2 linked regions of the Cricetulus griseus genome follow. The protein of the gene in region 1 purifies or fractionates together with the protein of each later gene. This does not show direct contact. Links are inferred from orthologs where the notes say so. Each region holds a gene or a part of one and is shown on either strand. Other genes may lie near its edges.

Region 1 (3,803 bases):
AGTCAATATAGCCTGGCGTTGGTGGCACACGCCTTTAATCCCAGCACTCGGGAGGCAGAGGTAGGCAGATCTCTATGAGGTCAAGGCCAGCCTGGTCTACAAAGCGAGTGCCAAGATAGGCTCCAAAGCTACATAGAGAAACCCTGTCTTGAACCATCCCCCCAAAAAAGTCAATATAAATTCAAAATAAAATAAACAGAATTATTCCAAGAAAACTGGATTATAAAACACTAAATAGAAACTGAAGCCAATTATGGTGCCTTAGGCAAGAAGATCCCAAATCGAAGACCAGTATGGGCTACAAAACAAGCACTGTCTCAAGCAAAAAACCAAAAGAGAAAAGGAGATAAAGAAATTGAGGGTGTTTCCTAACATGGAATTATGGAATGGGCAGGAATTCATAAAAAACAGAACAGTGGAGCACACTGTAAAGACAGGTATCAAGCAGGGGTTCTGAAGGGATGATACATTTACATATACACAGTCAAGGTATACAATAAGCCTGGCCCAAGGCAAGGTCTCAATACATGGCATCAAACACACCAGCTTTACAATAAAATACACATGAATGTGATTTTTCCAACACACATGGCAACTCTTAAAGACCTATGAGAAAAGCCAGGGTTCTCACCTTCCAGCCTAGAGCGTGCAGCCCTACCACAGCCCCATAGTGAGAACAGAGAGGCCGAACAGGGTCTGTCAGGACCTTCTGCAGGGAGAGCAGAATCTGCTGATAGAGGCCATTTACAAGGTCCCCATGAGTCCTGTGGGAGCAAGAGTCAAGAAAGGGAATGAGATACTAAACACAAAGAGTTGAGCATTTGTAGGGCACTCTGGGACAGGCTTCCAGGTTTGAATGGCCCAGGATCCAAGGCACAAAAGACTGATACCTTGGCATTTGTGACTGTACCCCTCCCACAACCCAACTGACTCTGTAAGCTATCCCACCCTGTTCAACTCGAGCCCAGTGGGTACCAGAAGATGTGGCTGAGTAGAAGGGCAGCCCCATCCCGAAGAGTCCAGTGGTCATTCAAAGGGTTGATGGAGGCGGCCAGTGGCTCCAAGACACAGTAGAGCACACTGCCCACCAGGGATCGGACATAGGGCCCCAAGCACAGGTGTGGGTTCCGTATCAGGCTCCGCGCCACCTGCAGTAGTCGGTGCAGCTGTTCCAGGTCATGGCTTACAGATTTCACCTGTTGGTAAAAGTGGGTGACTCAGGAAGACATAGACAGGAGCCTGCCATTCTGACAGCATCTGCTATGAGCCCTAAACACTGCAGGGTCACCTTCACTAGGAAATTGGTCACTTACCCCACTGACCACATAAACAAAGTAAGGCAGAAGTGCTGCAATCTTGGAGTTTGTCTGCAGGTCCTGGAGGGCGACCTGAAAAGAAGCACTTCAATTAAAGAGAACCAACTGGAGGGTGAGTGAACACTGCACCCATGTGTTATGTTAAATGTTCATGACCTGCCGGGTGGTGTTGGCACACACCTTTAGTCCCAGCACTCGGGAGGCAGAGGCAGGTGGATCTCTGTGAGTTAAAGACCAGCCTGGTCTACAAGAGCTAAGGTAAGTTGTAAAACCAGATACCACTTATGTTTTTATTAATGTAACCATAATTTGTAAATAGGAACAAACAAGTATATGAGAAGACTATATGCTTTTATATTATATGTAGCTCCATAATAAATACATATTGGTATGGTTAAGTAGTGAGCACTTGCTGTTCTTGCAGACCAGAGTTCAGTTCCTAGCACACACCTAATATATGATACCTGTCTATAACTCCAGCTTTAATGGATACACACCCTCTTTTGACCTCCTTAAGCACTGAACAAAAATGACCCACTTACATAAATGAATGCAGGCAAAATACCAGACACATAAGAAATAAATAATTCAGTCGGGCAGTGGTGGCATATGTCTTTAGTCCATGTACTCAGATGGCAAAGGCAGGAAAATCTCTGTGAGTTTGAGGCCAGCCTGGTCTACAGAGGGAGTCCAGAACAGCCAAGGATACATAGAGAAACCCTGTCTTGAAAACCCCAAAATAAATAAAGTGAAATAAAATAAATTCTTTAAAATATTATAAAGTGGCGAAGTGGTGGTACATGCTTTTAATCCTAGCACTAGAGGCAGAGGCAGGCAAATCTGATTTCTAGGCCAGCCTGGTCTCCAGAGTGAGTTCCAGGACAACCAAGGCCACACAAACCCTGTGTAAAAACAGACAAACAAAAAGCAAATAGCTGGGCATGGCAGTGTACACCTTTAATCCTAGAGCTCTGGGGAAGTAAGCAGGCAGATCTCTTGAGTTCATGGTCAGCTGAGTCTACATAGAGTGTTCCAGGCCAACCAGGGCTGCATAGGGAGACCCTGTCTCCAAAAACATAAACCAATCAAAGAAATCCACCTCATCCATAAACCACTATGATCTAAACCCTCCAAACCCTCTAAAGATCTCAAAGTGAAGAAGAGCTTAGCTCCCAGGTGCACAGCTGCCACCCATAGGGGACTAAGAAACACAGCAAGGGCTAAGTTTTTATTTCCTTTGTTCTCTACTGAGACAGGGTCTTATAAAGTAGCCCACAGCTCAGCCTTAAACTTTCAATCTTTCTACCAGTGCTGAGATTACAGAACCACGCCACCATGCCTGCTTGGTGTGTGTTTAATCTGTCTTACAGTGTTAGAACTTCCTATCCAGGCCTCTGCACATGCTGGTCAATGCATGGCTAGCTCAGCAGTCAAGTTCTGAGGACAGAAATGGTGCTGGCAATGGTCCTCGTTTTTTAAGTGATATAGCAGTCAGATATGAGAACATGGGGGAATCTTAACTGTCACACAGAAAAACACAAGCACAGCCCGGTACTCGGGAGGCAGAGGCAGACGGATCTCTGAGGTCAAGACCAGCCTGGTCTACAAGAGCTAGTTCCAGGACAGCCTCCAAAGCCATAAAGAAACCCTGTCTCGAAAAACCAACCAAAACAAAACAAAACAAAACAACAACAAAAAACCCCAAGCGTGACTTTGAGGAAAGATCTCTGGTTGTGTCCAGAGGCTAAAGCAATAGCAGCAGGAACCAGCCCAGGAACAACCTTTGCAGAGCAGGCCTGGCTGGAGACCTGACTTGTACCTCTACTTCTTCTTCTCCTTTCCTTACCCAGTCCAAATAAACAAAGGCTTTGATGTTCATGGTGGTGTACATCTTTAGTTCAGCATTCACGAAGTAGAGGCCAGCCTGGTCTACAAAGAGAGTTCCAGGACAGCCAAGGCTATTATTACACAGAGAAACCCTGTCTCAAAATACCACACACACAAAATAAAATAAAATAAGTGCCTCATTTGGCTCCAGATCAGTAGATACCTCAAAAAATGGGAATCTAGCTGGGTGGTGGTAGTGCATATCTTTAATCCCAGCACTCGGGAGGCAGAGGCAGTTGGATCTCTGTTGTGAGTTCGAGGTCAGCCTGGTTACAGAGCAAGTTCCAGGACAGGCTCCAAAGCTACAGAGAAACCCTGTCTTGAAAAACCACAATAGAGAGACAGACAGACAATAAAATAAAAGGGAATCTGGGATGAAGGTGTAGGAACAGTTACTAACAGCACCTGCTGTGCTGCCACTGCCTAGGGAACAAGAGAGTCTACTAGAGCGTTAAGGGGTCAGGGCTGGCATAGTAGGACCACACACCACTAGAGAATGGGTTCCACCATAGCAACTAGTTCATCTATAGAGGACAGGAAGTAGACACCTGAAAATATTTCATGGGGATTTAAGACTTTGACTTTATGCCTACTCGGGTC
Region 2 (4,389 bases), on another chromosome or scaffold:
TTTTAAAGACTTGGATCTTCGAGGGGAATTAGGGTTCTGGAATGGGAGATACCATAGCTTTGGGGAAAGGGCAACGATAAGGGGGAGCCGAGAACCCAGGGAAGGAAAAAAGATTTGACAAAGAAACAAGCTCAAACTCATACTATTCCTCCCCGGTAAGGTCTGTCTGTCTGCCTATTATTTCCTCCCTCCCTCCCACCAGAGGGAGCTCCCCTGCCCACCAGACACCCTTATTCCCAAACCCAGAGAGCCCCCCCCCCCAGTGACATCACACTTGAGTCAAAAGACCTGAGCACTCCCTGCCCAAAAGGGAGGGTTATCTGTCCTTCACCCAAACTTCCCCCATGCTCGCCCCGGCTCTCACCTTGTCTGATTTTCTCTTCTTGGCTGGGGGACAACAGAACAAAGAACACAGTTACTTTTAAATTCTCAGTCTCAGCACTTACATGTTTTTAAAAACTACATTCTTCCCCCATCATCAAGACAGTTTATGGCAAATGTATGCTCTAACCCTGCTTTCCCACCTCACCCCAGGCTGCCCCAGTTCCCCAAACACCTTTCTTCTCTGAGCCATAGGACCAGTCATTGTCATTGATGTCATCGTTGTCTTCTTGGTCACTTTCAGACTTGTTCATATTGTTGCTATTGGCAATCCTACCCAGAATTGAGAAGAGAAAGGGTCGAGGTTATCACACATCTGCACATTATTTTTATAGTCAAGTATGTGAGGGTCAAGTACAGCCTACCCTCTGCACCCTGCCACCTGCCCCATGGGACTACACCATGGTAGATTGCACAAGATGTCTATCATTGGAACAGGCAGCAAAGAGGTTCTCACCGACGGTTGGCGATTCGGCTGCTGTTACGACCCATTCCCAGGCACTTCTCCAGGTGGGGGGCAAAGCGGGAAGCAGCAATACTGCGACTGCAATTGGGGCAAACACACTCCTTGCTCTTCCACTGGTTGAAAACCTGTCCAAAGATGTCCAACCCAGGCTGGTCCACGATCTCTGGGGACAGGAGAGGCGTGGCGATCAGAGGGGGCAGAGTACCCTCACCTTTTGTTCTCACCTATGGTCCCATACCCTCTTTAAACTCATCCCTGCCTAAGCTCACAGGAGCTCCAGGGTCTGCATCTAGGGCAGTTTCTAGAGAACCCTCTAAGTCCCCCCGGGCAGAGGGGCAGAGCTAGACCACTCTCCTTCCACCCTGAAGCTCACCAAAATCCTTCATGCTATCAGGATCCGTATCATCCAGGAAGAAGTAGCCACACTTGACAGCCCGGTGTACCTCAAAGCAGAATCCCAAACAAGAATCCTCCACCAGGTCCGCATATATCTCCTGAGCGATGGCCTGGGCCCCAGGAGAGAACATCCATGGTCACAAGGGTGGCAGCCCCCTGAACTGAACAACCCTCACAAACCAAATATCCCGACCAAACATGCTGCTTTCTGTGCCACTTTCCCCACCTTGATTTTCTACTTTTCTTCCTCCCAGATCCTTGGTCTTTTCAGCTGGCTGTTCCATCTAAGGAACAAGGCTGACTACCCAAATTCCTCTTTGGCACAGATGCCAGATACAGCGAGGCAGAGACATCAAGAGAAAGAACCAGAGGCACACGTGGGGAGCCCTCACCTCTAGTTTGCTGTTATCCAGGCCAGACAAAGACATTTCCTCCATTTTCATTTGTAAACTCTTGTGGAGACGGCGCTCTGACTGCTCATAGCACAGCGGGCGGCAACAGGGCTGCACACATGGAGGTGGGGGTGTTGGTGTGAGTCCAAGACACCTCCAAAGACTGCCACCTCCCCTTCCCCACCTCCGAGTCCAGGGCTTAATCCTGGCATCAGAGAGTCTCCCTCCCCAAGGCCCCGAATCACTAAGTCTGATGGTTTTCAGGGCCTGAAACCAAAGGTGGCCTAGTCCTTCCCAGGCCTAAGCTCAGGCCCTGAACTGTACTGCCAATCAGACTCTGAGTCTATAGGAGGCAGCAGCTCATCCCAGGTACCCAAAACTCAAACCCCTCTTTGATACCCATGGTGCAATGCAGCAGGGGGAGGAGAAGGAACTCTAAGGCCTCAAAGCAAACCCACAGGGTGTGGCAAAGAACTGCACAGACTCAAGACAACCCCCCTTTCCCTAAGGGCTCTCAGAGTCACCTCTGCTTTCAGCCAGGATGTCCACTTGGGGGGGTACTGCTACCAGAAGTAGGAATGGCCCTAAGACCCTACAACCTTCACCCCACTGCCTTCTCTTAAAATAAGCCTGCCGTTCTAGGAGAGGAAAGGAGCCCACAGAAGCCTACAGGCAAAGGGCATTTCCAGCCATCACGAACAGGAGCAGAGGAGAGCCCCGTGGCAAGCACTCGAGGAGTGGGCACTCCCCTTACCTGTTCTTTTAGATCGCACCCTCCTCCCTCCCTCAGGACCAGCCCGGAAGTCTCTCCAAGAGCCCCAAAGTCCAGAAATCCCCACCGTTGGGTTCAGAAACAGCGCCCACAGTTCGGGGCCCCACTGAATGGTGGGTACGAGTTTAAGGAGCTGCCGGCCTCGAGTGGGGTGGGGACTGACAAATGAGCCAGGGGCACTGGGAAGGGTAGCAGGCCGGGCCGCGGCTCTTCTCCCGTCCTTGCGGCACTGCTGCTGCATCATACCGACTGGGGGGAGGAGAGCCGAGCCGCCCAAGGCCAGCGGCGGGCCGGGACAGAGCGACCCCCAGAGAGTAGGCAGAGTGGGACGCGTCCCGACCCCTCTCGGTCGCCGCCAGCCCAGAGCCCGGACCGGCCGGGGAAAGGAGTCCGGGAGGGTATCTCTATTGTCCCGGGGGCTGGGGCCTGGCTCCCTAACAAAGGCCCCGCGCCCCCTCCCCGGCCGGCCCTGCCCCGCCCAAGGAGGACCCAGCCAGGGGGAGACCGGGGGGCCCCGGCCCGGCCGGGAAGCCGGGGAAAGCCGGGCGTTTCCGCGTCGGCCCGGGGGAGGGGAAGGGGCGCTGACCCAGACCTGGGGGGAGGGGGCCCAAGCCCCGCCTCGAGCCCCCCCCGCCCCCGCAGGCCCTCCCCGTCCCCGTTCCGTACTCACCCCGCCCGGGGGGCCGCGCCGGGGCCCGGCGGCCTCTCAGGGCCGCGTCCTCCGGCGGCGGCGGCGACGGCGGCTGCTCCGGAGCCCCATGTCCGTCGGTCCGTCCTCGCCTCTCCCCGGGGCCCGGGCCCGGGGCCGGGGGGTCGGGCTGCCCCCCCGCCTCGCCGCCTCACCGGGCGGCCATGGCCCCTTCCCCTCCCTTCTCGTCCCGTCGCCGCCTCCTCCTCCTCACCTCACCCCGCCCGCGCGCAGTCCGCGCGCCGTCCGCGCGCCCCTCCCCCGCCCCCCACTCCAGCCCGCCTCTCCCGGGCGGGGGGTGCGGCGCGAGCCCGGAGCGCGCGCGCGTGCCGCGACCGGAGGATGGATGGATGGAGCGAGCGAGGACGCGAGCGTGCGCGCGCGCGCCCCTCTCCCCCCTCCCTCGGCGCGGGCGCGAGGCCAGGCGCGAGCGCGCTCCAACCTCCTCCTCTTCCTCCTCCCGCCCCTCCTCAACACCCCGCCCTCGCCCTCCCTTCCTCTTCCTCCTTTCGCTTTCGCGCGCCCAGCGACAGCTCGCGCTTGCTAGAAGGGCCCGAGCGCGTGCATCTGCCCCGCGGCCGCAGCTCGGCAGCATTTGCTCCAGGGGGCGGGGACCGGGAGGGGAGGAGGGGCGCCACGCCGCCGTCCAAAGTACCGGCGGACGGGAACTGGGGCGGGGACGTGGGCGGGGCCACTGCGGGCAGTCCGGCCAATCGCCGAGCCTCCTCGGCCCAGGAGGCCCAATAGGCTTAGAGGTGGGTGGGGCAGCGTTCAAGGTGAGGTGCGCGGTGCGCCGGGGGCGGAGACTGTGTGCCGTCCCGGCCGGCTCGGGGGCGGAGGCAACGGGGTGGCGTCGAAAGAGAGCGCCGGCTCCCGGCCGAGCCTGGGACGCCTTCCGGCCCAGGCACCCCCCGCCCTTCCCGCGGGGCTCCCGGCTCTGCTCCCCGGCCGCTCCCCGCTTTGACCCCGCGGCATGCAGTCACTTGTGTGAGGAGGATGGGCCTGAAGTGGGATGCAGTCAGACGCTCAGGACGGACAGCCCTTAGGAGGGTCTGGTCTGAATCGTTCTCCGGGGTTCTGGGTGGGTCACTGCCCACCCTAGGTCTCCGAACCCAGGAAAGCTTAGGGGGCAGAGGGCCACCGCCGAGCGCGAGCTGCGCCCTTCTGAGCGGAGCGCGCTCTCACGCCCTCTTCCTAATTTAGATCCCACACCTGCTCGCCTTTCCTGCTTCCGGAGCCCACGCTGGACCCTCCACCTCTTAGACAGCCTGCTTGGCACGGGCCAGACTCTGCC

The links.
Region 2: the proteins of Taf6l (region 1) and Atxn7l3 purify together in Homo sapiens (affinity purification with mass spectrometry; 6 studies listed by BioGRID and IntAct, with this or other methods). This does not show direct contact. The link is inferred for Cricetulus griseus from reciprocal best matches to the Homo sapiens genes TAF6L and ATXN7L3.

What each region holds. Positions count from the first base shown.
Region 1 is NC_048596.1:51,313,416-51,317,218, reverse strand, and holds part of Taf6l (TAF6-like RNA polymerase II p300/CBP-associated factor-associated factor 65 kDa subunit 6L), read right to left. Parts: intron 1,389-3,803; coding exon 1,314-1,388; intron 1,197-1,313; coding exon 976-1,196; intron 765-975; coding exon 632-764; intron 1-631. UniProt on the Homo sapiens protein: Functions as a component of the PCAF complex. The PCAF complex is capable of efficiently acetylating histones in a nucleosomal context. The PCAF complex could be considered as the human version of the yeast SAGA complex.
Region 2 is NC_048600.1:115,805,441-115,809,829, reverse strand, and holds the start of Atxn7l3 (ataxin-7-like protein 3), read right to left. Parts: upstream 2,961-4,389; 5' UTR 2,652-2,960; coding exon 2,475-2,651; exon of another isoform or gene 2,160-2,474; intron 1,747-2,159; coding exon 1,636-1,746; intron 1,354-1,635; coding exon 1,221-1,353; intron 1,011-1,220; coding exon 839-1,010; intron 655-838; coding exon 557-654; intron 388-556; coding exon 365-387; intron 58-364; coding exon 1-57. UniProt on the Homo sapiens protein: Component of the transcription regulatory histone acetylation (HAT) complex SAGA, a multiprotein complex that activates transcription by remodeling chromatin and mediating histone acetylation and deubiquitination.